Medicago truncatula: one gene and its partners. The protein of the gene in region 3 binds, or shares a complex with, the protein of the main gene of each other region. Links are inferred from orthologs where the notes say so. Each region holds a gene or a part of one and is shown on either strand. Other genes may lie near its edges.

Region 1 (7,131 bases), on a different chromosome or scaffold from region 3:
TTATTTCATTTCTTCCAATAATCACTTTCGATTGCACCTTTTTAGAAAAGAAAAAAAGGGCAGCCTTGTGCACTAAAGCTCCCGCATACGCAGGGTTCGGGAAGGGGTCCCACCATTTTGGTGTATTGTACGCAGCCTTACCTTCTTTTTTAGAAAAGACGATGTTTCCATGACTTGAACATGTAACATTTTCAGTCACATGACAACAACTTTACCGTTGTGCCAAGGCTCCCCCTCTCGCACCTTTTTAGTAAACCAAAAGTGAAGTTAATAAATACCCAAGCACTTGGGGAACCCTCTCTTAAAAGCTAGATATCAAGAAGGAAGAAACTCCACCGTGAAGCATCCCATGATGAGAGCCGATTTCCCGGCGGCTGCTTTCTACGATGCTTTACTCAGTCTTTCCGGTCAGCACCTCCATTTGGAGCCCTTTCTAAGACACTGTTTGAATGCTAGATATTAAGGGGAAAAAAACAAACAACTTAAATACACCATCGTGCATTCCAGACTAATCGATGTGGGAGAGGAAGTGCAAGCAAAAAAACGGTGAGGCAGCATAGGAGATGGATGTGTGCAAGTTTGTTGCACAATAGTATTGTGTCTTAATGATTTATGCTGCACAGTCAAATTCCCTTTTGGATTTGTTAAACTTATAGATTGATTGTCAATGTTTGTCAATCATTTTGCATATATGTGTTATTTAGACGCTATCAATATAAGCAGTTCCAAAAGTTGAAATGATTTAATATTGTTTTTTTAGGGTTATCGATATCACTAACATAAATATGATATATACGCCATAGGTTACAGGAAGGAGAGACAGAGCCAAGCCTCTTCCATTCAAGATGGATTCACGTGGTTCATGGGGCTTTTCAGGAGCTAATGAAGGGAACCCACGGATCAGTTCCAAATTTATTGCACCATGTTACTATATTAACAAGTAAGCCACTGGCCTTTTCATGAAAGTATTTTTCATATGAATTCTGGTTTCATTTTCCCATGTACATTATTTGACACTATCATAAATGATGAGTAACTTAATATGAGTTATGTACTTGTTCATGACCATAAAAGAATAGTATTCATTTTTAATTGAAAAAGGACGGTATCTACCTCGATATTTGGATGATTGCGGCATCATGTGGCTAACTGTGTCTTGTTTGTATGCTATATTTCAAGATGCATTTCAAAAGACTATTACTTTATGCTAGGTTGCTGCTGTTTTCTTTCCATTTGTTGGTTTTGAAGCTCAGTAAATTAAGAACTATTTTTTCAGGGTTGAGATCGATACCAAACTCCCCGTCGTTGGTGACCAGAAATGGGTAATATGGATATGTTCCTTCAATGTCCCCATGGCACCTGGTAAGACTCGCTCCATCGTTTGCAGTGCCCGAAATTTCTTCCAGCTCACGGTGCCAGGGCCTGCCTGGTGGCAAGTAAGATTTCTATATTCAATGCTTTCGTTTCTATTCTCTTCAATAAAACCACGAGAATGTTCCATTCTCTGCTAATTTCTGTGGTCTTTCACTGATTTATTCGCTTCTTTTGAATGTCTATCAAGATATAGTTTTAGCAAACCTTGACAAAAATTATTCGCTGTTATCCTTGAAGAATGCTAAGTTTCTTTCTATGAAACCATTTTATTTCGAAGATTTTTAAACAAAATGGAATTCTTGAACTTCTCCAACATCAACATCTAGGATAAAATATATTTCCAGGAACAAGCAAGTCCTAACGATTTTCTTGTTCATGTCTCAGGTGGTTCCCAGATGGTATGAACATTGGACTTCAAACAAGGTATATGACGGGGACATGATTGTACTTCAAGGTCAAGAGAAAATCTTTCTTGCAGAAACAGAGAATGGCGGTGACATTAACAAACAGTACACAAGCCTCACCTTCACACCAACACAGGCCGATCGTTTTGTGTTGGCATTTAGAAATTGGCTGAGGCGACACGGCAATGGCCAACCTGAATGGTTTGGTAAGAGCAGCAGCCAGCCATTGCCTTCAACCGTACTATCAAAACGTCAGGTATAGCAATTTGATCAAGTTATTTCATTATGAACCCTTTTCCATTGTCTACAAAACCGAGAATAAAACACAACTTTGATGATCTTTTGTGTTTGTTTTTCATGTAGATGTTGGATAGATTTGAACAACACACACTGAAGTGTTCAGCTTGTAAAGGAGCTTATGAGGGATTCCAAACATGGCAGAAAATCCTGACTGGTGCAACAGTTGTGTTTTGCGCGACTTCTGGGATTCCATCAGATACTCAGCTGCGCATAATTTTGGCTGCACTCGCGCTTGTCAGTGCAGCCTTAGCTTTTTCCATAAACCAACTGAAAAACAATTTTGTTTTCGTCGATTATGTGCACGCTGAAATCGATTGAACGTGTTATTACTCCAAAGGTTTTATTACTAGTTGCAAATTGTAAATGTTAGAGATGAGGACAAATAACCACGTGTATGTTAATATGTGTATATATTTTCATCAACGGAGTTTAGATCTACCTTGATGTTAATGTTAACATGTGTATAACAATGTGACATTAGACTACAAATACACAATATGAAACTTCTTTTTTCATAGATTGTAGATGATTATTTCGAAGGTCGTAAACATGACAAGATTAACACCAATCTTTCTGTATGTTTAGAATACGAAAGACGTATTAAATCTGAATTTTATTTTTATACACAAATTACAAATCCAGTGCTTAATTTTATATTTCAATTCCTTCAAAAACTAACTATATGATAAATCAATCAATTCTTTCACTTGCAATGTTGGACTCACCATTCTTTTATATATAAAATTAGATTAGAAGAGACACACTTTCGTATAAGATCAAAGAGAACCACTCATATAATCGAAGATCTAAGCCAAATTCAACCATGTGTGTTAACTGCAATTGATTTGTATATTACCCCACTTTTATAACTACATTTGATAATTTATGATACAACATTTAAACTGTTACTTCGATACAATTATTTTTTTTATTTTTTTTTATCTTACTGTAATGCTCTTAATTATTTTTAATTCATTTCTATCTATATCTCTATGCTATTAATTATTTATAATTTTATTCTAGGGTATAGAGTTTAATGAATTTGATAAAGATGTGATATATGATAGAATATTATGATGTCAATTTATTCATTTAACTGATTCTATTTAGTGGGTTAAGAATTAGAGTATGTTTGATTTTGTGGTGAAAAAAAATTGATTTTGAGTGAATTGATTATGTAAAATTGATTATGGCAAAAGTTGAGTTGAAGGCAAAATAATTTATGTTTGAATACATTCATGTAAATAAAATGTAGTTGAATAATAAATTTGAACATAAAAATCAATTATAGAATTAGAAGCTTACGATTTATAACTTTTAAGTAAGATCAATTCTAGAGGCAAAATCAATTATACTTTATAATTATTTCTGCACACCTAAAATCAATTTTGACTCCTCCAAAATGAAACTAAACATGTACACTCTTGTACTTTAATCTCAATGCAATAAACAATGATGAATTATTTTTTTAATCCGGCGGAAAGAAAAGCCAGAAAAGAGGAAAACTAAACAATTTGTTGCCTAAACATCTCATAGACATCAGCAATGTAAGACGAGATTCAACTATGTCGAAGGGGAATTCCACAACTTCATGATGTCGACATTCTTTGCATCAAATTTGGTCAACCAATCAACACATTCGTTGTCTTATCTTGTATCATATTCAAGGAAACCAACCAAGGAAGATGGATGAACATCATAACAAGAGAAACTAAATTTGCATGAGGGTGAAAATCATTATGTTGAACATCAGTCATCAGAAATATCGTTGACTCGGAGTCGGATTCTACAATAATATATAACAAATATCCTAAACTAATGAATTTTTTTCTCTTTCAAATCAATGTGAGTTCAATAAACAAATTAGATGCGATATTATATAAAATCTAGAAAAATCGTGAATCCAAATTCTAAACTCATTCCACAGTATGTCTCCACAGAAATTGTCAATTAAAAATTAACTAACTTTTTTAAAAAAATAAAAAATATTAATTAACATTTTTGTAAAAAAAAAATACAATAATAAGTTTTTTACGTTATATCCACTATTTTTCGATGTTCGTTTGAAGAAGAAGAGATAAGAGACCAAAACACAGAACACAAATTGAGCGGTGAGTTAACAAAACAACAATGGCATCATCATCAACATTATCTTCACTTCCATTGCAACATAGTTTCACCTCTAACTTGAACACTTCTTCTCAATTTTCCAACAAAACTTCAAGGTTCTTAATTTTCGCTCAGAAGAAAGCAAAGAAAACCCGAAAGGTTAGTTACACCAACATTTTTTTTTTTATCTCTCAGTTGTGACAGTATTTGTTATTTGTATTGAGTTTTTTTTATTGTTATTTTGTGAAATTAGATTATATTGAAGGAAGATATTCTTAATGTTGGAAAGAAAGGAGAGCTTCTTGATGTGAAGGCTGGATTTTTCAGAAATTATTTGTTTCCTAGTGGCAAAGCTCAGATTGCAACTGCCGATTTGCTTAAGTAATGTTCAATTATTTATATCATCTAATCTTACTTGAGATTTTAGAATTTTAATTTACATTAGTAGTAGGTTACTTTGGATAAGTTACCAGAAGCAGAGACACCGGACACAACACTGACATGTAGGCACTAGTAATTGTTTAAGAAAGTAGAAGTGTTTGAATTCAACAATTTGGAGAGAATCCAATTCAACATGTGAAAGTGTCGTGTCGTTGACCAAGTGGATACACCTTTGATCTGAAGTGTCAATGCTACATAGGTTACTAGCAGCAGCGAAGGGTATTTAGGTTATTGAAATATCATCAAAAATAAACTTTGTCAACAAAACACCAAAGTCTCTTAAGAGTTTCACATTAGAATGATACATTAAGATTATGTAGCACCAACACTTCAGATTGATGGTGTGTCTGGTATCCGACACGTGTTGATCTCTGACATTGAGACATGGGTTTACATTCAATCATTCCATTCTCTCAGATTAGTACTGATGTTGACGTGTCAGTGTCAATGTTGTGTTTGGTATTCGTGTTTCTGTCAAGGCTTCATTTTGTTAAGAATTACATTTTGAAAAAAACATGTTTGCCACAATTTTGAATTGTGATTCCCTTGCATTGATTGTCTTTAGACCTTTTCATTTTAACTTTTTCTTTCCAGGGAATTGAAGATAGAGGAAGAAAGAATTGAGGCTGAGAAACAACGGGTAATTTTTCGTTGATCCCTTATCATTTCTTTGGTAAAATTTTCCTTATGATAATGTTTAGTTAAAATTGTGATAAGCTGATCAGTGATTAAGAGTGTTAGAGTTCAAGAGGAAAGGAATATTAATATGTTCTGCTACTAGTTCTAAACAACCTTGCATGTAAAGCTATAAGCTCATAACAATGATATTCTCCTGATTTTGAATTCACTTTTTAATATCTGATTATCTGCTGTTTAGGAAATTTTACGACTTTCAAACTTCCTTCTGAAATATTTTAGTGAAGTTTTTACCCCTAGGTGTATTTGAAGACATATCAGACTATCTAAGTTTTACATTTCTATAGGTAAAAGAAGAGGCACTGCAACTTGCTCAAATTTTGGAATCAGTTGGGGCTTTCAAGGTGAAGCGTAAAGGTGGTAAAGGAAAACAAATCTTCGGAAGGTATGTTCTACCCAATTACTAGGTTTCAATTTGTGCAATATATGTATGATTGTGCCTAATCTTTGGTTTCTGTTTAGTGTTACGGCTCAAGATCTTGTTGACATTATCAAGGCACAGCTTCAAAGGTACCATTCATCTTTCTGATGCACATAAATATTTTCTTTGTTAGCATTATAAATCTTACATTATTTAGTATTATCCTATAAGTTGTAACATTCCTGTTTATACTTTTCTAATAATTGGGACAACAAAACACATTTCAGTATGGTATTTTGTTCCAACTAGCTATATGCTTAATGCAGTTTGTTGTTATTTTGTTGTCTGGCTTTGGAGCCTTCCAATTTTGTAGAAAGGTTCATGTTGATTTTTACCACAATAATGAAAGATTCTTTTCGATTGAGTTTTCGATATAATTTATCAACGGAGGTTAACCAAATCACTATAATATTAATAGGTTCTACCAATACCTGATATCCTTTAGAGAAATTCCTTTTAGTTTGAATGGAATTGTCATAATGTTTAGTCTGTTAATATTCAATGTGCATTTCAGTAATAACTACAATGTTATTTTACTCTTTCCTGCTTATCCTTATCGATTGATAGCACCATAGTCATCAGTATCTTGCGTTAGATGTGAGTCGTATCTTGTTTCGAGTAAGACTGAACCCACCCGATATGAATCCCTAGTGTGTATCAACTTCGTACACGAATTCCATCTTATCTCCTAATTCATAATAATGAATTTTGTTTCACTATAATGAATCTCAATTCATTGTAATGAATTACTACCTAAAATTAGTGTAGCTAGGCATTTTTTGTCAACTTTGTATAGCTGGCCGTTGTCTTTTGTCGTTTGATGTATGGCTTGAATCTTGAATTATATTGAGGTTCGTATATGATATGTCAACTTGAAATTTTGCTGTGACTTATTTTTACATAAAAATATCATACTTTTATCGGTAGTGTATCTTACATTTATAATAAGATTTGATTCATGATTAGGAAAATAGATCATTTGATTCACGACTGGAATCTCAATTTACTAACCATAGTTAACACAATACCACAAAGGAATTATAGGTGCAAAATATCCTTCCATGATTCTGTAGATTCATTTGGATGTATTCAGTGTATGCAATTTTTGAAAAGCTAGAAGAAATTTGGAAGAGACTTTCGAAATTCTTCAAACTATATCTCTTTGACGATTTACATTTCTAGTTCAGTTAGTCTCAGTTCACATGTGTTTTGTAGTCTGATTAATTGTTCATGATTTTCTATGATTCATTTCTAGGGAGGTGGACAAGAGAATTGTTGAACTTCCTGAGATCAGGGAGACAGGAGAATATATTGCAGAGTTAAAACTTCACCCTGAGGTTACAGCTAAAGTGAGTGTGAATGTTTTAGCTAACTGAGCACTAATAT
Region 2 (6,975 bases), on a different chromosome or scaffold from region 3:
TAGTATTTGAGAGAGGTGGCGTTATGTGTAAAAAAGTGGTAAAAGTAAAGTGTACCTTAAGGGTGATGCTGAGTTTGATTGTAAGATGTTCATGTTTTTTATGTGTCGAAATTTTCCGGTTGGAGGGTTGTTTGTGGTTGATTCCTTCTCCAGGCCTTAATGATGTTCCTTCATGGCCCCTTAGAGCATCCACAATCGAGACAACAATTTTTTGGTTCTTAAATGGATCCCGCGTGTACACATCACTCATTTATAATTTTTTAATAGTAGTATCTAATAAGCATTCAATCCCTCCAACCCAGATCTCACACAAATTTCTTAAATGAGACATATTAATCAACTACCAATAACTTTATATCATTAATTACATTTCAATTTTTTAATATTAAAAGAGTGTGAGTCCCGCTTAAGATTGGAGGTCTTAAGTAAGACCTCGGGTCTTATAAAACAAAGAAAAAGTTTTTCCCCAATAAAAATACATAATAGATACCGGATCTTAAATGTTTAAAACCCTCCTATTAAAAATGGTCTTAGTCTAACTTTTTTTAGGATTGGGTTTTTGATGCTGGTCCAGGTATAATATTATTCCTTTTTTTCTTCTTCCAAGTATATCATGGCCCCTCGGTCAAACTTCTTTATGATGAGTTAAAACAAAGTATATGTCAAGTTTGATATCACTTAATTTTATCATTTGCTTTTATTTTTCCTCTATATCATTCTGTATCAGTTAAATAACGTATTTATTTATTTTTAAAAATAAACAGGTAAGATTTTAAACGTCAATTATTTTGGTCCATACAAGCGGAAAGACGAGCATGTTGGTGTCAATCATTACACTAGTGGCAAGGATATTTGAAAATGGAAAAATTAATATTACAAATTTTACATTCCTTCATTAAAAAATAATAATAATATGCATGAATTACATTTTATTTAAAATGTTGACAAATAGATAAAATAATATTTAAAACAACTATTAATTATTAAAATATTACTTATTTTGTAAGTAGGACCAAATAGTACATATTTAATTACTTCTTTTAAACTCGTTAGTTGCTTAGGAGATAAAATCCTTACTTCAATGAGAAGCCTTAACAGGGAGTGATCCTTGTTAAGTAAAGACCTCCCATTAGAGATGCTCTAAGAGCATCAATATCGATCGTAGTATATGTATATATGAACAGAGCGTGTCCGGAAAAACACCACTAATTGAGTTTTTTGGGTGGTAAATAGTTGATCCCGTAGCACTGCATTGATACGGTAGCTTTGTCTGATCTTAATGTTCTTTTATAATAAAAAGTGCTTATGATGTTACTTTTTTGAATTAAAATGATTTAAGAAATATAATATAAAATATATTGTAAGATGAGTGAGACCTATTTTAAAATTTTGGAAGAGTGGTATGGATATTTAGAAGATATAGTTTAGTGGTTTAAATAATTGGGAAGTGTGAAATAATATATTGTATTACGTGAGACCCATTTATACCACTCATATGGGTGGTATGGATGTGGATGCTCTAAGTGACTCAGTTGACTTTGTCACACACACCAATGTACAATTTTGATCTTAAATAACTTTACTAATCTATTAGAAAAAATTATAAAATTTGATATTTTGAAAATATTCATCTAGACGAATCTAACAATATCTTATATGATATTATTTATTTTTATATATCAGTAGAAAAATACAGTCAAAGTATGTTAGATCAATAATATAAATTTTTAAATAAATCATCTATTATAGGATGGAGGGAGTATTTATCAGAAAACCTTTTGTGTGACCATACACATTATGCTAAAACTTTCTCGTAGTGAAACATACAAAGAAAATTGAAGTATAAAACTAACGCATTTCGGTAATCAGAAGCAGAGAACAAAACACATCTGTGTTTATTGTCATTCCAAACTAGGCTGATCAAAGTTAGTCCCTCTGAATTTGTAATTTGGAAAACTTTGTAACAATTTCAAAACTAAAATATCAAACTTTCCCTACAACCAAATTACTTTAAAACAGCAACACTAACATTTGTGATGCCAAGAAAACAATGATATAATAAATCAGTCTAATACTCCCAATCATCATTAGCATATATATGTATCTTCAAAATTGTCCACATACTCCATCCGATCACATTTATAAGTAAAATGCAGCTTTTTAGATACATTGAATAATTAATGTATCTGACATATAGCCTCGTGGTATTGACTTGGAACCTGAAAGTGTGCTCCTTCTTGATGTCTCAAGTTCAATTCTCTCCGATACCAATTTGGATGAGCTAATTTAACTTCTTCAAAATAAAAAATAAAAATGTATTTGATATACAAATGTGACTATATATATATATATATTAATTATTTAATTTATCTAAAAAAGTGTTTTTTCGTATAAATATGACCACCATCATCATAATATAAAAAGTGCTTTGGAGGTCGTAAATCTTTAATTTGCTCGTGACACCTTTGTTCTAAATTTTGACTCAAAGAAGCACACACGTGCAAATCAAGAAATTCAAGAAGAGGGCAACCATCAAGAATGGCAAGGAACCCAACACTGACGAGAAAAATTCCTAACAATTTAAAACGGTGTAGCCCAGACATTGTTTTAGCATTAACAAATATCACATCATAATATTTATTTATATTGAAAAATGATATTTGAATGGTCATTTTGTGATAATAGGTGTGACAATTTTTTCTCTTATACCTACATTGTATTTTTTATTTTTCTCTTTATTGTTTTGGTTCTTCTACCAATATCTACATTTCTTTATATATTTTGATTGTTTCAAATGATTGTTCAAATAATATTTCTCATTTATACTTTGACGCAAGGGTAAATCAACCTACAAAGAATTAATGATTTCAAACAAATGCAACATTGGCCAATGACTTCAACAGAATCCTTGGATACATTGTTCCTAGATGTAATGTTAAGCTCCTTCACAAATTCACTCAATCCTTTATCTGAAATTCTTATGTAGAAATTGTCTTAATTGACTTGTCCTGTAAAATATTAAGAGTAAGATGCTGATAATATATGATTCATTTGAGTTATGGGACGAATAATATTAAATTAAACTATAATTTAGAGTGTGTAGTGTATAACCATCATTAAACTATAATTTAGAGTGTTGATATGATACAAACAAGGATATGAGCTGCAATGAAATGAAATGAGATTAGAAATTGAGTCCAATAAATTAGGGAGGTCTAAAATGATCATACTACACTTAGGAAGTGGAATAAATTTGTTGCCATTTAGTGGTGACTCATTAGTTTTAGAAGATTGATGACTCACTAGTTTATTGGAAAAAATCTAAAACAATATTACTTATAATATAGAGTAGTGATATTTGTACACCTTTTCTAAATAACTTTCATGACAACTTTGTTTTTTTCTATTTTGATTGATCAAAATCAATAGAGAGAGAAAAAGGCAGAGAGATAACAAGAATGTAATGTGAGTATGAGAGAGAAAGTTGTTCAAAAGTTATTAGAAATTGGTTGTACAAATATCATTTCTCTATAATATATTATCTCTATTTTATAATCATCGATGAAATTATAATATTTTCTCCATCTATTATTCTTAAAAGGTTCTCATTCTATGTTCTATATCAGAGGAATTATCTTTTACATATCATTTGGTGCTCTTAACAATGATACAATCAATATTGTCATTTTATATAATAAAAAATTAAGTCATAAGTGTTTTTTGAAGTAAAATTAAGTTAATAGACGAATTTTATATATTTACCAAAAATATAATAGAAAGAAATTGCAAACTTTGTTTACTTTTTTAATATAATTTTCAAGGATAGTAGATTTGATATAGTATAGTTAAAAAACAATTCATGAGTTTTATTTAATTATAAATTATAAAGTTGATCCATCAAATAAAAAATAGTAGTAAGCAAAAACAAAACAAAAATCCTTACCCACACCACACCACACCAATCAATTTTGAAGAGATAGGATAGAAAAGAAGCAAAACTCTCAAATTTTTCTCTCTGAACCAAAAAAAAATAAAAAAATGGCTTCACTCTCTTCAACACTAACACCAACTTCAACTTCTCTTTCTTTCTTCTCTTCTTCAATCTTCATTTCTAATTCAATTCCCAAATTGAAATTCACTCCAAATTCAAACTCAATTTCACATACTAATTCACTTTCCATTTCTTGCAAACTCGCCACCCTTCCACTCCTCTCCTTCTCCGGCGAGAAAATCGGTGAATCAACTCTCGACGTCAAATCCGCCTCTCCTTCCACCTCTCGCGCCGTCGTCCACCGCGCCATCATCCACGACCTTCAAAACAAACGCCGCGGCACAGCCTCCACCTTAACACGCGCCGAAGTCAGAGGTGGTGGCCGAAAACCCTACAACCAAAAGAAAACCGGCCGAGCACGTCAGGGTTCGATTCGTACACCTCTCCGACCCGGCGGTGGTGTGATTTTCGGCCCGAAACCAAGGGATTGGACTATTAAGATTAACAAGAAGGAGAAGAGGCTTGCGATTTCCACTGCGGTAGCGAGTGCGGCGGTGAATACAGTTGTGGTGGAGGAATTTGGAGATGAGTTTGAGGGGAATGCGAAGACGAAGGAGTTTATTGCGGCGATGAAAAGGTGGGGATTGGATCCGACGGAGAAAGTTACGTTTTTTATGATGGAGGTGAAGGAGAAAGTGTTGTTGGCTAGTAGGAATATTGGGACTTTGAAGATTTTGACGCCGAGGACTTTGAATTTGTATGATGTTTTGAATGCTGATAAGATTGTTCTTACTCCTGATGCTGTGGATTATTTGAATGGTAGGTATGGTGATAGTGAACAAGATGATGATGGTGATTATGTCGAAGAGGATAGCCAAGAAGGTAAATCATTAGTATTATAATAGTATTAATGATGATTAGTGATAACATTGTTAATCGTTATATCTTGAATTATTCATCCTTGTTTTTCGAATAGTATAGTACATTAGTACTAGTTCAATATTGATGTTGCCTTCCGTAAGAAGCGTCGGTGCTAGCGTGCTATAGTCATAGACCTAGATTTTAAATTGAAGTTGCGGTTATGGTCGTGTGCAATTGTTGATATGTTGACAACTGTGGTCAATTTTAGATGGTACTATTGTGGCCGTGGGGACATACAATTACAAATTCGGATGTTGTGATCACAAATGTGGGTGGGATAAGGGTTTTAAATAGTGTTTACAGTAGAGATCCTTGATATTGCGGCCTGTGTGGCTTCAATTGCAGTTGCATTGCGTTTTTGACAACATCAAAGACCGTTATGGTTATGTAGCCCCCCAAATCTCAGTCGCAGACCTTTATTTAAAACTATAGTTGCAGATCTTTTAAAATCTTGGGCATTGCGTTTTAGATAGGAGTTAGTTTGGATAAACTTTTATTGAACATGGAGAATGAAATATTAAAAGAATTTGACAATGATTGTGTTTTTTTAAAAAATAGTTTCTCGAATAAGTTGAAATATGTTTCCATTTCTCATGATCATCCAATTGATCATGCAATTTTGTAAAAAACTTATTCCTTAAGCATTATAGTAGCTTGTAAATTTTTTTGTGAAATGAGAGAAAATTAACTTATTTGAATTGAAATGTTTCCTTTAGGTAGAAATCATTTCAAATTTGGTTTAAGTTGCTGATATTTGAAAATGTTTCATTGAGGTAGAAATCAATTCAAATTTGGTTTAAGTTGCTAAATGGATTCTCAAGTTAACATTCTGAAATATGAAGGATGTTACTACTGATGTAATTGTTTATTTTTTACATATATGTTAAGGCTCTGAACTTGTTTTAATTTGAAGATTATAAGTAGTTCACTTATTTGGAGTCATTAACCATGGTCATAAGATTAAAGTTCAACACTGTTGTTTGTTCAACTTGTTGTATCTGCATTGTGTAGTCTTATTTGTCATTGGCTTTAGCTTTAACTTTGGAGCTGGTATCTTTAAAAAATTATATTCTTGAGACTATTGAAAAGAAATGAAGTTAGTGCACTGACAGAGTAGAGTCACCTAAATCTCACTGACTCATTTTGATAGTTGTTTAGTATTGTGCATGTGTGTGTGTATGGACATTCATGTTGGTGGTTGGGTTAAACTTAAACTGCACATTCCCTCTGTAACTTTTGAGTTGCTTATTATTGTGGAAGAGTTTAAGATGGGTCTGAGTAATATAATAGGTTTCTGACTTGATTGCTTTCTTCTATTTGGATACAGGACCAGACGCAGAAGAAAGTGCCGATGCGGTGAATTGATGATTTAAAGTTGTTTGCACGGTTGTATCGTATCATTTTATAGAGGATATTGCTCATACAGGGTATAGAAGGTTTGAAGTCTTGTTTGTACCAATGTATTTGCTTTTTTTCCATTCCATCACTTAGAATCCAAATTCAAGTAGCATGTAAGGATATTTCTTTATCTCATTTACAATCACATTTTGTTGTAACCTAGTAATTTTTTGAATCAATTTTGTTGCTTTGTAGTCTCTTTTGTGCAGATGCATGTAAATGGATAAGTCAATTGTTTTGAATCAATGTTGTTGCATGTAGTTTCTTTCTTCTGAAGAAGTTGTATCTGGTTACTTCTTTTCTTGTACTGCTTCTACTTAATGGATAGACAAAAATCTAGAACATGTGATGCTTACATATTCTTAAATGTGCTATTCCTAAACCCTAAAAAGAAGTTTGTTGAACTCTCATGCCTGTTTTGAATGACTTTCCTGCCATATACCTCATAAAGTCTTCCCATTCAACCATGTTTTACACTTTGAAAAGGAAACCATTTGTAAGTTAGAAGAAGAAAAACAAAGAGCAAATGAAGTCAAGAAACATATTTCCCAGTCAAACATCAACTCCTAATTTAGTTAAAACAAAATTAATAGCTTATTTTCCTCTCACCGTTGGTGTCATATTGCTTCATTGGTGATTCTTCCTTCCATATTATTATTATTATT
Region 3 (7,949 bases):
AGTGGGATATAATAATTTGGAAATATATTACATAGTATTTATTAGAAAGTACAAATGATTTTTTTAATATTTAAAAACTGTATTAACAGTCATTTAAAAAAAAATTGTTTTATTAATGTGACGCTAATTGTGTCTAAAGAAGTCGAGGACAAGTGCTTCTAAAACTTTGTTAGGTTAGTATTTTTCACTTTTATCATGATTTGAATATGAACCCTCCAAATATTTTTGAACTCTTAGTTCAAACCGGCTAAACTACTCATTTTTATATTTTGTACCATCAAATTAACGAACTTGGGTGTGTTGTAGTCAAAGCACTTCCGCAATCTCATGTGAGTGGTTGTTCAATTGAGGTTGGATGATCCTAATTTAAACTTGATATTACTATCATAGTTATAAAATTAAAATTAAATCTGATTTTACTAGGACATCACACGGCCACCAATGTTGTGAATGCATAACGGGGTGGAATCCTATTTCCAAATTATAAACTTCTTTTCCTCACATGTTTTTTTGAAAGACTTGTTGTTTTTCCATTAGAATAATACAGTTAGCAATAGCATGCATATATACAAAATATACAGTGTTTGATTTGATAGAATTTGTGAAATTGATATTCAGATGTTATCCACCAATAGCAACAGCAGGGTATCATCCAGCAGGTAACATAGGAGATCATCATCATCACCCAACAATGCCATTGAGTTTCCCAACATCCTTCTCTGCTGCAGGTTCATCATCCTCAACATCTCAAGTTCAACAATATCTGTACTCTTCACCATCAAGGCCTATGTCTTTCCCTCCACATTTGGTTCCTCACGATTACCGTCATGTGAGTCATATGATGAGTAACAATGGGCAGCAATATGTGGCAGGTGGAGGTGAGTCAAGTTACACGTGCATAGGTGCACCGGTTGGACAAGGTTTTCCAGATCATCATCCTTCAACGATCAATCGATTTCAAGATGGTATGTAATGGAGTGATATTTTGTTATCATAAAGACACGCTAGCTATCTGTAATGTATGTATGTATATCCAGAGAGAGAGAGAGAGAGAGAGAGATAGATGATTCATAATTAATTAAGGTGCTGACAGATAGCTAGGGTTATGACTCATCATGAGTAAGAAAGAAGAGATAGCAACAACAGTAACTAGGTGCTGCAGCTTTTGAGCTCATTCACAACCTCAGCTACTTTGGATTCTAGCTGTGGAATGTCTTTTATATGTTGGTTCGGTACAACAACAAACAAGCTGTTGGATATGAACTGAAAGTTTGTGTCACTTCCTTTTGCATCCCATTTCTATTTTTCTAATATTTCTTGCTTTTTGTACCATTTTCTAACTTTTGTGGTTTCATACTTCTTTTCTAACTAAAAATCCAAAAATCTACCTCTCACTCTCTCTAGTCAAACCAAAATTAGAATATTCTAGTTTCTTGATATGCTCATCATGTCAGTGTCACACTATGCTTGCACAATTAAGGTAATATCACAACAAAAGTCGAATACTCCAGCTGAGTGTTTCCGGTATACTCTCATACATAGAATATTCAAACAATCAATCATGCCTCTACTATCAATCAAATTTCTTCTTAACGCATATCTAGAAACCTTATCAGTTCGAAAACCATACATAATACAAACACAGACCCCCTTTCTTCCTAGCCAAAGATCACCTCCCAAAGGTAACTATGTTATATAATAAAACCCAAGGAGTACAAAGAGTTTAAGAAGGAGTACATCAAATCATAAAACAAAGCGATAAAAGATAAAGTGTAAGGGAATGGTAAAACAACCAGAACCACAACAAGCATAGTGTAGGATGACATTATTTAGAGATAATGGATCACATTAAGATGGTCTCACAGAGTTGTACTTCCTCCGTTTTTTAATATAAGTAAATTTTAACTTTTAGATTCATTCAATCAATGATGTATGTGGTCTTTTAGACCACATACATCATTGATTGAATGAATCTAAAAGTCAAAATTTGCTTATGTTAAAAAATGGAGGGAGTATTAGTTAGTTGTAATGTAATGCTTAACATGTGACATTCTTCCTTGTAAGGGTTTGGAGTAGCCTTGTACATCCTTTAATGCTAGTTTGTTTATTAAAAAAAATCATAGAACCTGAAAAACATACCACCAACAAGGAAACCACGTACCACCGTCACAAGGAAACCACGTACCACGTAATCAACCAAACTATATGCACAACCGATCCGTCCTGGTCAACACCACAAACCTCTGTGGGGTCAAATACTCCCTCCGTCCCAAATTGTATGACGTTTTGGACATTTTACACATATTAAGAAATGTAATTAATATTGTGTGGGAAAAATATATTATGAGTTGTTTTACAAAATTGTCCTCAATAAATGATATGGGAAAGATAAATGAAGGAATTGAAAGAAGATAGAGTAATAAATAATTAAGGATATAATAGGAAAAATAACATTAATTTTTCATTGGTATTGTAAAGCGACATACAATTTGGGATAAATATATTTTCTAAAGTGACATACAATTTAGGATGAAGGGAGTACATAATAACAAGTTTTCCGTGAAGTCTTACCTTACCTGAAAACCACTTCCACTTATTTTTTACATACTCCCTCCGTTTCAAAATATAAGCAAAATTTATTTTTTAGTTCATTCATTTAATAACCACATACATCATTAAATGAATGAACCTAAAAAATGAATTTTGCTTATATTTTGAAACGGATGGAGTAAGTTGCTGAACAATTACTATCTTTTCAAAGAAAATAGATCCATTTGGGAACCTTCAAATAGACCACACAATCAAATTTAACTAAATTACTAGTAATTTCGAAGAAATAAAACTCCTGATATCAACTCTAGACCAACAATTGGTTCCTTCCGTTTCAAATTATGATTCATGATGTTCCAATATTTTTTAGTGTACTTATTTTATTTTATTTTAGCTTTCACACATGGGTTTTCCTATTTGATTTTAGCTTTCACAATTGAATGGGCCAATGTGAAGTGCAATCATTTGTTTAACACATGAACCAGAGTTAAGGACTTTCAATTATGTATTTTACTCTTTTAATACTTAAGAATTAGTAATGCTACATCCCCTAAAAAATTCATGCTTCATATAGGTTACAAAATTAAAAATAAACTCTAGACCCATCTTAGAAACAATAACATAGTGCCGAGACTAAAGTGAAAAGAATTCAATTTGTTTGGGGATGAATGTAAAGAATTTATTTTCCCACCATCCACCCTTCTCGCGCCCGTCCTCGGTTTCGTCTATTTTATCCCCATTTGAATCATAATTTGAAGCATTTTTAATGTTTTTTGGATTATAAAATTCACAATCTATCTGGGCTTATATTTTACACATCATATGTTGTATTGTATATCAACGTATTACGTCTACGTCACTATGCACCAACCCAAAATCACATAACTTAGTCGGACGATGTGAGTCTTATCTAGCTACTAATACATGATCAAAAATAATATAATTATCTAACTTGTATAAACATACACTTAAGTATCTCTACCTATTACAATATAATTATCTAACTTGTATAAACATACACTTAAGTATCTCTACCTATTACCTTATCATCTTGTGAAAAAATTGAGTATTCTTACTTTTGTCTCTCCATGATGATCTTGAGTATTCTTCACATCAAATTCAGACCCACAAGTGTTTAACATCTATTGAAATTCACTAGGCCTATGGAAAAACACATCATCGTCATGATCTTCAACTTCATGACTCCCTCTCTCAACAACTTATCTCAGAGGCACCAGATAACGATATATCTTGTCTAACCCATCATCTCGGTCTTCTCTAATCATGTTAGGTTGACTGACACCACCCCCACCCTTCAATGCTTCAAAACACACATGTGGAATCAAGCTTTCTTCCATCACGAAGATGTCAAATTTAGTATCGAGGTGCTGACTTGAAAAATTTCCCACGATGGAAACCTTTTATCGTAACTTTGTAAATCAAATCAAGTAAATAAACTTAAATATGTGGAGCAAAAGACATCAGAAACTAAATCTAAAACAACCTCAGGAAACAACAACATATCTTATATCTAAGCAAAACATATCCACAAACAAAGTAAGGACAACAAGATAACAAACACACTAAGAATTGGGTATATGGTTATTGGAAAGAGGTATAAAAGAGGTTACAAGAAATTAGCTTCAACAAATTCTCTAAGAACAACATAATTTATGCAAATTTCTCAATTTCTTTTTATAAACAAGAGACTCACAAATATTTTCACTCTCCAATGTATTTCCCATGTGTTATCTATTTATAGAATCTATCCCCTAGTAGTTTCATATCCAAACAAATCTCATCTTGAAATATAAATATGTAAAATAGTTTAACATTAAAAAAAAGTTGTTTGGTCCTTTAACTTAGTTTTAAAGTTCATATTAATACCCGAATAAAAAGGGAACTTCTACGGTACACCTCATAAATTGAGGTGTACCGATACTCCTGCTATATAAATTTATAAATTAACAATCATTTTATGAAATAAGTAGCTATTTGTCAATATTTATATTTTAGAAAACACCATCTCATGAGAAAAAAACATAATTTCATTGTTTATAAGAATTATATTAAATTTCTAACATTTCCTCATAAAAAATAAGCAATATTTTTCGTTATGGCAATAAAAATTCAAAAGAGTAAATTTTATTTCATCGACGCTTTTGGTAAATAAGATTTAATTATTATAATTGTCAATGATAGAAAATAAATCTTTTTTCTTCAAAAAAACAACTAATTTAATTATTGATTTAATGTTTTGGTGTACTGATACACTCAAAATGTTGGGTATACCATAAAATTTGCCAATAATAAAACCCTCTATAAAAAATAATAAAGTGATAATTTTTTTGAGGAAAAATATAATAAAGTGTTGTAGTCTTATCTAGACCGTTATTCTATTGTTTAGGGGGGTTTATCGTATCAACAATATTATCCGTCTGTTCCATTTTGATAGATAGAGTGAAGAACGGATAGACATAGTAGAGAGACATGAGTGCTGCTGCTTCTCTTATTCCTGTTTCCTGGTTACCCTCTCTCGCTTCTCCATTCAAGGTATTTCTATTTCTATTTCCATTTTCATTTCATTTTCTCCCGCAATTCACAATTTCACCATTGAATTTATATTTGTAGGGAAATGTGAAAACATTGGTAGCAAAACCATATCTATGTCCATGTCTCAAAATTCAGCGAACAAAACACCGTGTTTCTGTCATTAATAAGTCTGTTTCTGCTTCCGTACAACCAGCCGGTGAGAATGTTCGGTTTCGGTTGGACAATTTGGGTCCACAACCGGGTTCAAGAAAGAGAGCAAAGAGAAAGGGAAGAGGTATAGCGGCTGGACAAGGAGCGAGTTGTGGTTTTGGAATGAGAGGTCAAAAATCTCGATCTGGACCCGGTATCATGAGAGGTTTTGAAGGTGGTCAGATGCCGCTTTATCGACGATTGCCCAAACTTAGAGGAATTGCAGGAGGTATCCCTTCTTACACAACACTTGGGAATTTACCTTTTGCTTTGTTGGCTAAATTTGTTGTTTATGGATTTTGAAAATAACGTATTTAATTATCGCGGTTATGATTGATTGACAGTACGAATTATATTCTTAGTTTTAAATGATGTCCAAACTTGTGTATTGTACATTTTGTTAATTAGTTAATTTTTAGTCTATATACTACCAAATGGGAGCTTTTGTGCAATTGTTAGAGATGCAATTGTTTGAGTTGAAAGTCGGATATTCATGAAATTTTAGCAGTATCTTAGAAATACAAGATTGAATATAATTGGCACACTAATAGGTTGCCCTTTTTTTACCATGTTTTGTTGAATTATCTGTAGCATCATAATGCTTCACATGGAGTTTATATGGATTTTGTTGAATTATATTAGGATAATTTAGGATCCTACTGTTAGGGAGTGATCAAGAAAGATGCTACTTGTAGCAACATCATTAGTAAGAAAAAACAATGGTTAGATGAGAATTGTGATTCCTGGTTGCAGATTGATTACGTATACTTGTTGCGTGCCTGCATCACATTTGAAAGTCATGAAGTATGCCTATTACAGGGTCCGGATATGATGTTGTATATATCCCTAATATGTTGATTTTCAAAGAAATTATAGTCGATTCCCTTTATTGACATCTTGAAATGGTAATTATTGTCTAAAGAGAATCATGGCATTATGGATTATACCAAGCTTCCAATACCTAAATTTCGCTTCCTCAGTTCTTATTATGCTTGACATCTTTACTTATTGTATATTTTTTCCCCTTATTCTTTTATATCCTTCCATGATTTCATTTCAAAAGCAATTATTTTATCAAAGGCTTTTCTTTCATTCTTTGTCGTAGGATCTCTCTTAATTTATTTAGTATACGCATAAATCTCGCTTGGAATCATGTTTTAATGTTCCTTCTTTTCTTTTATTTATATAAAAAAACCATAATAAGGTATGCATGCTGGATTGCCGAAATATGTCCACATCAATCTGAAAGACATAGAAAATGCTGGATTTCAAGAAGGGGAAGAGGTGTCTCTGGAGACACTGACGGAGAAACGTGTGATTAACCCATCAGGAAGGGAACGGAAACTTCTATTGAAGGTACAAAATACTTGTTGGTTTATGGCTATCTAATTTTTTCCTTTAGTTGTTGTCTTACATGTTCTTTTCTGTGATTGTTTTCATGATGTCTAGAGGTATTATGATGTTTCACTTTTAAAAACAAATGAGGATGGTTAATTTTCCTAGTGCCCCATATATCAAGAAAGAATTCTCATATGAGGTCCCTTGTCTATCGTGAATAAAGTTACTTTCTTTAAAATTTTCATATAATGCCTTTAATCAGAGAATTTTGGTTGAGCTCAGACATATGTTGTTTGTTTATGATACATATGTAAGTTCAAACGTAATATTTTGGTGGCTGTGTTTGTGGTTTGAATTTGAAACTGTAAAGTTGGAATATAGGTCCGTTGGTTGAAAGAGTTAAAAGTTTGCTAATGGATGTCGGGATATTAGAGATGTTGAAACCGTGTTTCTCAACTACATGATGGAGTCCATTTTGTAAGACTCAAACAAATAATTACAATATAAATACGATCAATTTTATTCTTATTTATGCCTACAGTTAATCTATAATAATCACAAAGATCCTAAACATATTTTCAACAAGAGAAATAAGGCACGTAGTCTATAAATAAGAAGAGGGCTGAGACTTGAAAGGGAGAGATATCTTGTCATTTTAGTTTAGTCGGAGGTCCTTGGATATAGGAAGTAGGGAAGATTGCATACCTTTGAAGTTCTGTAGTTCTCCATACAAGGAATTTTTCCCTAAATGTACATTTAATTAAAATATCAATTTCTGTCTATTGGTATCAAGGCTCCATCAAGGAGTTGGGGGTATATCATTGAAGATTACGTGGCGGGAATAAGAATAAAGGCACACATGGATGTCATGGATGGTCAGGAAGTAATTTCAGTTGGGGAAGATACATCTGTGTTGGATCAACAAGTTTGGGAGGTATTTTCATATGAAATAGGTGTTGGAAGGAGAAAGACTATAAGTCATCTGTGTAGCCATGGAAGGACAAGCTTTGTTTTTGTTTCAATGCTCCAAAACCCGACTTGGGTGATGTGTCATAATATTATTAGGTGTTTCCAGCCATCCATGATTTGCAACCCATTTGGTATTTTGTTGTGTATGAAGCAAGAGGGCTTGTGCATGAGTACAAGGATCAATTTGACATACAGGTCAGGTTGTTGCATCTGCTACCAGATAGAATATTTAAAAGTTTTTTTTTAAAGGACGGCAAGATTGAAGCTACCCTTGAACAGGTCACTATTGGAGGAGATGGATTTGGAAGAAACTATAGATGAGTGAAGAAAAGAGTCGGTCAGTTTGAAAA
Region 4 (7,739 bases), on a different chromosome or scaffold from region 3:
GTCTCAATTAAGATAGTCAAATATAACAATCAAAAAAGTCAAGAACATAATCTCATGAGGTAATCAATATCATTCATGATATAACAGTCACAATTCAAACAATAACATGCATGCTCCTAGACTCTAGACATCTCTTTCTTTGGTGTCATTCTACTCCGAAGTACTTGGTTAGGAGGTCGATAGTGCTATGCCACCACATGGTGGATGGACAATTCAAAAATGGGTGAGTCATTACAGACTATTAAAGGTTGGCCGAGTCACTACGGACTATTCAAGATTGGCCGAGTCCTTACGGACTATTCAAAGTTGGCCCTGCCCTCATAGACCCCCTCCTCAACCCCGAGACAATATGTCTCATTAATCAGTACTTCCCCAATCATATTAGGTTTGTCAGACCCTACCTACATGATGACCAAACACTCCACTAGGTCCTATACCTTACCATTCAATCCATATTCATTTAATAATCACAATTCACAGTGCATACTTCACACTATTCGATAAAAATCCATATTCAGTCATTCTCAATCAAGTCTCAATAGTTCAAACATATATAATCATAATAACTAGTCAAATTCTATCAGTAACGCCTTAAGAGATTTAACACGTAGTACTTTTAATAAACATAATTTCATACTAGTTAATACAAATGTGCACTCACACATCTACCACACCATAATTAACCTTTAAATCATAGTTTCACAAGGATCAAATATTAAACAATCTTAACAGCATTTAATTCATGGCAGCCTTCAGGTTCTGGATCATATTGATGTGATCTTAATCAATTATATCTCAAATGGCTAAACTATATGTGGTAAGCACTATATGAATAGTTGAGAATTACAATATTATCATTCATTTCACAATATATTACACTCATGAGTGAAACACTCGCTTACCCCTTACATATAATCTCCCCTCGTTGGCCTATGATACACATAAGAGCAAACACAACACAAAATCAATACTAATTCATGGTTTAAGGGTAATCGATAAGGGTAATCAAAATATTCATTCATCTCAAGTTAATCACATCAATCTGAATCTGATAAGGGAAATCAAGAACATTCTATAAGCTCAAATTATCCACAACAATCCGAATCTGACAAGGGTATTCATTCCTCTTAAATTAACCACATTAATCTTCATCACATTTTCTCATATACAGATTTAAATTAACCACATCAATCTTCATCACATATTCTCATATACAAATTTTTTACTCATCACAAAACACATGCATCACATCATATATACATCACTAGATACGTACAACTCATGTCTATTCAAGAACAAGAATTTCGCAATAAAAAAAAATAGCAATTAGCCAATTATGATCACAATACCTACTCAACAATACCTATTCAACAATAACATCAATGAGTACACATTCCGACATAAAGTAAGTCAAGCAACACCTTAATAAAATTTCTAATTCCTCTTTTAACCTTACTTCCATATTTGCACATTAATTTATTCATCTCTCAAAGGCTACAACCGTCGCAGCGAGCCTCGAATCAGTGGATGATTTCAAGTTGGAAGCCAAAGTTTTGTAAAAGAGTATTGTGGCTTGAGGAAAGAGAAATCGAGGAAAGAGAGAGGGGGCAAGGGTTTGTAAAAGAGTTTCCATTCTGCAACCATTTGGAAGAGAAGACCCGTTCTATTTTTATTTCTTCATTTAATAGCAAGGGGTGCAAATAGACATTCAGACTGAAATTGGTGTGTGGATAGAAATCCAGTTAAGTGAAATTAATGTGTTTTCACATACTGGGCTGTGAATGGTCCCAAAGAAGGAAGACAGATTAGCCCAATCAAGTATCAGAATGCAGCAAATAAAGGGAGGTGTATAAAGTAGTCAGTTTTAAATTAATCTATCTATCAATTCCGATTCTAAAAATATCAATAACTTGTTCCACTCTCCTATAACTAAAATCTTGATCTCTAAAACACTCATACTAAATTACTATGACCTTTCAAAATGCTTAAAATAATAAAATATCAACATTTTATATTACTCCATAAACAAAATAAATATGTATGACTATCACATCATAACAAATACACATAGGAAAAATCATCATAATATTGCTAAATAATTAGGATATCACTATGTATACAATTCGTATTACTAAATGTCATGATAATTATTAGCGCATCCACACAAAAACAATCAAAATAAATAAATAGATAATAACTAGTAATTACAAGATGAAACTATATATAAAAACACATGGATATATGATAATATAATATATAGAAAAATTGGGGTGTTACATCTTGGACATTGGGTACATAATTCCTCCCGTTGCAAAATCTTTTGAGGCCTATTGAATCTTCATTCTTCATCTTCTCAAGACCCAATAATCTTTAGAGGTCTTGATTTGCCTGGTTTGCTTGATTTCTTCGTGAATTACTTCAAGAACCCTATAAAATTGCTATGTTTTAGGAAGAATCAAATTACAGACTCAAATATAAAAAATATTACAAATGTCCCGAAATCATAGACAATTGTTTTAATACTCCTCTGGTTTGCTGGTAAAACCTATTAAAATAGACTGAAAAACATGCTAATTATAACGTAAGATGATCTGTCATCACCTGTCCGTGATGAATTTTACTTGCGGATATTTGATGTGTAAAATCCGCAAGTGCACCGTTTTACTGAAGTAGTAAAAAGAGTATCGTTCTGATAGGGAGTTATGAATTCAATTAACTTTTAACAATGATTAGAAGAAAGTTTGAGATTAAAAAGTTTGGATTTTTAACGGTTGAAAATAATATTAATAAAAAGTGCCTCGGGATTATTGGTTCGTCATGGCGAAAAATCCTTCACAAATCAAACGCTAAACCTAGAATTTTATGTTGGACCTACTTTCTAAAGACAAGTTTCTCTTTAGCCTATCACATCTCCTCTCGATTTCAGTAAGTGTGTTCCTCTTGCAACCACGTCTATTCTCATGATTGATTGCTATTGGAATCCTTGAAGAAGAAAACTTTTTTGTCTCAAGGTTTGCTAGACCATTCTCATGTTTCACAATCCTTGTCTAATTTCACTTGTTACAATATCATAACTTCTTATTACGATGTTTCGCTTTGATATTTGTGATGATGAATTAACAAGTACCAACCCTTCGTTGTCGCATTATGAGTTTGATACTTGTTAATTCATTATAAAAATGGTGAAATTAGATTAGAAAGTAGTTTTACATAAAATTAGGGTTCAATGCTTAGTTTGATTAGGATTAGGTCATTAGATTCATCCAACAATCCCAAGACAAGAAGTCTACTCACTCACGTTCATTGTCGACATAGAGAAGAAGAAGAAGAAGACCATAAAATAAAATAAAGAAAATAAAGATGAATTTTTATTTAAAGAAACAATTGTCACTTATTATTTCCAAGAACTAAAGATGATTATACAAGCTTGATGTCTGCTCTATTTATAGTCTAACAATGACTTAAGCCCTAAGAAATAAATCACTAAAGTGTTGCACAAGAAATGACAAGCTTTAGGTCAAAAATAAACTAATAGGCAGCTTGTCCGGGAAGCCAAAAGAAGCAAAAGGTGACTCTGGGTGCTGGCACGACTGTGTGGCTGGTGACACGGGCCGTGCTAAGCTTCTGAATTGGGGGCTTTTTATTTTTGCACCAAATCTTCATATTTTTAGTCCGAATCAGCTCCGAATCTTCTTTCTTTTGCTCTAAGACTCAATCTTTAGAATATTCGTTCATGAAATTAAATAACTTGCAATTGAAGTAAAATAGTTCTAAAAAAGAAAATAAAAACAAATAAAATTTAAATAAAATAGACTCAAATAATATATTAAAAACGATAATTTATTGAATCATCAATATCATGCATACCAAAGTTTGGTAATCCTTAACTATATGTCTAACTTGGGAATGCAGATAAATACACTAGTATCTAATTAATATTGTCATATTTGTCCCTCCTTATTTTCTACTTATCTTCCAATTTTAAGGAGAAGTAGGGCCAAACACAATTTGTAAAGAAGAAAACCACATAGAAACTGATGACAGTCGGCCATTCACTATTTTTAGAGTCTTTTTTATGATATTTTTGAGTTCACAAGCAAAGATTAAACAACAAGAAAAGCTAGAAAAACTGAAGAAAAACAAGAAAAACTGAAGAAAAGCAAGAAAAATAAGAAAAACTGAACAAAAGCAAGAAAAGCAATAAAACCGAAATGTTGATTTTACGAATTATGGGATCAAAATGAAAATTGATAATTACTTAAGAGACCAAAAATCTAATTAAGCCTAAAAAAAAAGTTTGTCTAATATTTTCAGTTTTTTAGTATTATAAAATTTATGCTTTACTATAATTTTTTTAAAACAACTATGAATTGTAAATGTCCATCTTAAGACTATTTTTGAGAGGTCTCTATTAAACAACCCTAAAAAGTTTTACTAATTAAGTTGGACAAATAACAAATGCCAAACAAATTTAACTTTAACTTAAAAGTTTTAATTTTCAACTTTATTATTAAAGTAGCTTTTAGACCTCAAAAAAATAGAGCCAAACACACCCTTACTTATCGTTATATTAATTTTACAAATATTTATATACTATCATATCAATCCATACATAAAAAGAATTAATGTCATATTTGATAGACTATTTTAACGTAAGAGACTTATTTGACTAACAAATCGTACAATTATACACTATTTTAAAATTTTGATACATTTATAATATAGGCTTATCTATCGCACACTCTCTGGCTGGCTCTACATTATCCCCAGTAAAGATAGAGCACAGAACACAACACAAAGCATCGTGAGAGAATTTATCATCATTCATCAACAGCAACAATGTCCTTGCTGTGTGGTTCACCATCAGTGACGTTCCCTTCATCTTCTTCATTCTCTCATCACAAGAATTCAACTTCTAAATCTTCCTTTCTTTCTTCTCAATTACCACTTTCAAACCTTTCATTATCATCTTCTTCAATTCGTTCTCCATCTTTCATTGTCCATTCTCAGCAGGAAACTTCCATTGTCGCAGAAGAAGAAGATCCTCGTTTCATCTGTGTTGAACCTGAGCCCCGCTTTCAAGGCCCGGTATAACTTCTCTCTCTCTCTTTTTTGTTAATGGGTTTTGTTCATTTTACACACTAAGTGTTGTTGTGTATGATTTTGTTAAAATTTTCTTGTATTAATTTCTGGGTCTCTGTAATCTAGCATATGGAATAGAAAAGCCTCAATTTTTATTGTCAAATTTTAGTGTTTGTCTCAATCCATCATTTTATGGTAATTAAGCCTTATTATCTTCTTTCTGGTTTGTAATTAGCACTTTAGCAGTATTCATTTCTCGTAATTGAAGTAAATTAACATGTAAATCCATCTTAATTTACTTCAATTATGCCTACATTTCGTATCTCATTAGTTTAATTAGCTTGGAAATGTATAGGTTATTACTTCATCCAATTTTTTGGCATGATTGAAAGTTGGAATTGCTTTAAATCTTTACGTCGGTATCCATGTCTTGTATTATTTTTAAAGCTTTTAACTTGGTAGATGCTTTTTTCGAATTAATGTATTTGAAGCGGCTTAACTGAAAAGAGTAATGATTGCAGGACATTTGGAACACAACCTGGTATCCAAAAGCTTCGGATCATGTCAATACAGAGAAAACGTGGTATATTGTTGATGCTACAGATAAAATTCTTGGAAGACTAGCATCAACAATTGCTAATCACATCCGAGGGAAAAATTTAGTGACTTATACACCCAGTGTGGACATGGGTTCATTTGTAATTGTGGTACGTATTTCTGCATTCATTATTTGCAATTGGCATGGAAGTGCTGATTTTTATGGTTTACTACTTCTACGGAATAAGCTTATTTGTTATATAAGTCAAGTTTTAGTTGAACATCTTTCTTGTTAATTTTCTTTTGGTTTTAAAATGGATGGAACTTATGCAATATATGATGGACTGTTTTCTAAGTAGAAGGAGTCAAGTTGAATCATAGGTTAATGGAGTTTCTTGCATTTTAGCCTTAACTTTTTGTGTTAAGTCACCATGAAATGGCGTAGAGGCTCAGTGTCATTTCCCTTCAAATTGTTATCATCATTCTGATAAAAACTGGTATTTTATTTGGAAAAAAGATGGAGATAAGCCCTATTTGGGAAGTTCGAGCACTGTAAAACATACATCAAGGGAATGCGTCTCCTTATACCCAAAGGCCTCAGCACTTATTCAAAATTTCAAATGTCAGGATATCTCAGCCACTTGACCCGTCTTCTTATTTATAACTACAGTTGGAAAAAAAAAGCCTTATTTCTCTAATTATTTCAGTCTTTTTCCTTGTAATATACCTTCTGTTCTACAGTTGTTAACTCCCTTCCCTGTTTTTATAGCTACTCCTCTATTATCCTTTTGGAGAGTTACTGTTATTGAAGAGTCCTTGTAATTCTAATATCTACTTACCGCTCTTCCTCTTCCTAAATACTGTACTCTTAACGAGTGGTTTGCTAACACACATTTAACCCTTTGCTATAATAATGTCACATTGACAAAGAAATTTGGATCACATTTCACATTTTTGTATATTGATTCTCACGCAACATAGTCTGTAGTTAATGTATTGCTTTAATGCATGTCCTGAAAAGTCTTGATGAAGCTGCTATTAATCTTGTTATGTCTGAATGTTTGTCATGTTTTTTCGATCATAATGGGAAGCTGCAAGACATGTTCTTTTTGTTATGTATATCTATTGTTAATGACTTCTCCGCTTTCTACATTCTATAGATTGTAAGGAAGTTTATTTATCATGCATTTGGTTTTAAATTTTAATTATAGGCATGTATGACTAATGATTTGACGACAGATTCCAATTTTCCACAAAAATAAAACTACAATATCAATAGAGGAAACAAAATCTCCTATAAAATGGTTGTATTGTTTATAAAACTTGCTTTTCACATTAATGACTATGTTTATGAGGCTCACCCTTCTCATGAAGTTTTATGCAAGGAGTATTGTCAATAATGTTCTGTTTCACGATTGCTTTATGTAGTCTTGGCCTATTATTTTAACTGGGGTTGTGTAGATAAATGCAGAAAAGGTTGCTGTCAGTGGGAAAAAGAGGACCCAGAAGCTTTATCGGCGGCACTCAGGTCGACCTGGTGGTATGACAGTCGAGACATTTGACCAGCTGCAGAACAGAATTCCTGAAAGAATTATTGAACATGCTGTTCGTGGCATGCTTCCAAAAGGGAGGGTAAGTTCAATAAAGTTCAATGTTTTTCCAAGAGACTTGTACAGTAGACATGTTAAGATGGATCATTGATGCATAGAGAAGTTGAATATAAATCTAAACTATGTGTTTAATTTTTATGACAAAAACATATCACACGTACTAGATTCGTTTCCATAACTGATGGAAGAATATAGAAGTGAAGAATGAAAGGAAATCTTACAGTCTATGCATGCCTGAGAGCACACGTTTTTGGTTTGAAAGGGATCCCTTAGAGAGTACACCTTTTGGTTTGAAAGGGATGCCTGAAAGTAGACTTTGTCTTCACCGGTGTTCCCTTCCTTTCCACTACCAAGCTTGAATCTAGTGGGTTGAATAGTGGTGGTGGGTTGTTCGACCTTCTTAAGACCCATCCATTCACCTTGTTGTCGGCTCCAAACCTTTCGACGTCAACCTTTCTATTTCGATGCCCTCCGTCACATAATGAATAACGGTGCTACTATTTTCGTCCA

What was found.
Region 1: 50S ribosomal protein L15, chloroplastic (region 3) and 50S ribosomal protein L9, chloroplastic share a complex: the UniProt entries of both Arabidopsis thaliana proteins name them as parts of the 50S ribosomal subunit. The link is inferred for Medicago truncatula from reciprocal best matches to the Arabidopsis thaliana genes RPL15 and RPL9.
Region 2: 50S ribosomal protein L15, chloroplastic (region 3) and 50S ribosomal protein L4, chloroplastic share a complex: the UniProt entries of both Arabidopsis thaliana proteins name them as parts of the 50S ribosomal subunit. The link is inferred for Medicago truncatula from reciprocal best matches to the Arabidopsis thaliana genes RPL15 and RPL4.
Region 4: 50S ribosomal protein L15, chloroplastic (region 3) and 50S ribosomal protein L13, chloroplastic share a complex: the UniProt entries of both Arabidopsis thaliana proteins name them as parts of the 50S ribosomal subunit. The link is inferred for Medicago truncatula from reciprocal best matches to the Arabidopsis thaliana genes RPL15 and emb1473.

The regions. Positions count from the first base shown.
Region 1 is NC_053045.1:29,004,025-29,011,155, forward strand, and holds the start of 50S ribosomal protein L9, chloroplastic, read left to right. Parts: upstream 1-4,126; 5' UTR 4,127-4,208; coding exon 4,209-4,346; intron 4,347-4,440; coding exon 4,441-4,568; intron 4,569-5,222; coding exon 5,223-5,268; intron 5,269-5,611; coding exon 5,612-5,709; intron 5,710-5,786; coding exon 5,787-5,834; intron 5,835-7,000; coding exon 7,001-7,121; 3' UTR 7,122-7,131. Other genes in the region: pheophorbide a oxygenase, chloroplastic, read left to right, coding at 804-940, 1,277-1,436, 1,759-2,034, 2,142-2,396. UniProt on the Arabidopsis thaliana protein: Binds to the 23S rRNA.
Region 2 is NC_053049.1:1,016,661-1,023,635, forward strand, and holds 50S ribosomal protein L4, chloroplastic, read left to right. Parts: upstream 1-3,960; 5' UTR 3,961-4,038; coding exon 4,039-4,873; intron 4,874-6,239; coding exon 6,240-6,277; 3' UTR 6,278-6,586; downstream 6,587-6,975. UniProt on the Arabidopsis thaliana protein: This protein binds directly and specifically to 23S rRNA. May play a role in plastid transcriptional regulation.
Region 3 is NC_053042.1:53,667,951-53,675,899, forward strand, and holds the start of 50S ribosomal protein L15, chloroplastic, read left to right. Parts: upstream 1-4,942; 5' UTR 4,943-5,040; coding exon 5,041-5,103; intron 5,104-5,181; coding exon 5,182-5,521; intron 5,522-6,496; coding exon 6,497-6,648; intron 6,649-7,949.
Region 4 is NC_053049.1:23,131,030-23,138,768, forward strand, and holds the start of 50S ribosomal protein L13, chloroplastic, read left to right. Parts: upstream 1-4,728; 5' UTR 4,729-4,839; coding exon 4,840-5,088; intron 5,089-5,603; coding exon 5,604-5,789; intron 5,790-7,080; coding exon 7,081-7,251; intron 7,252-7,739.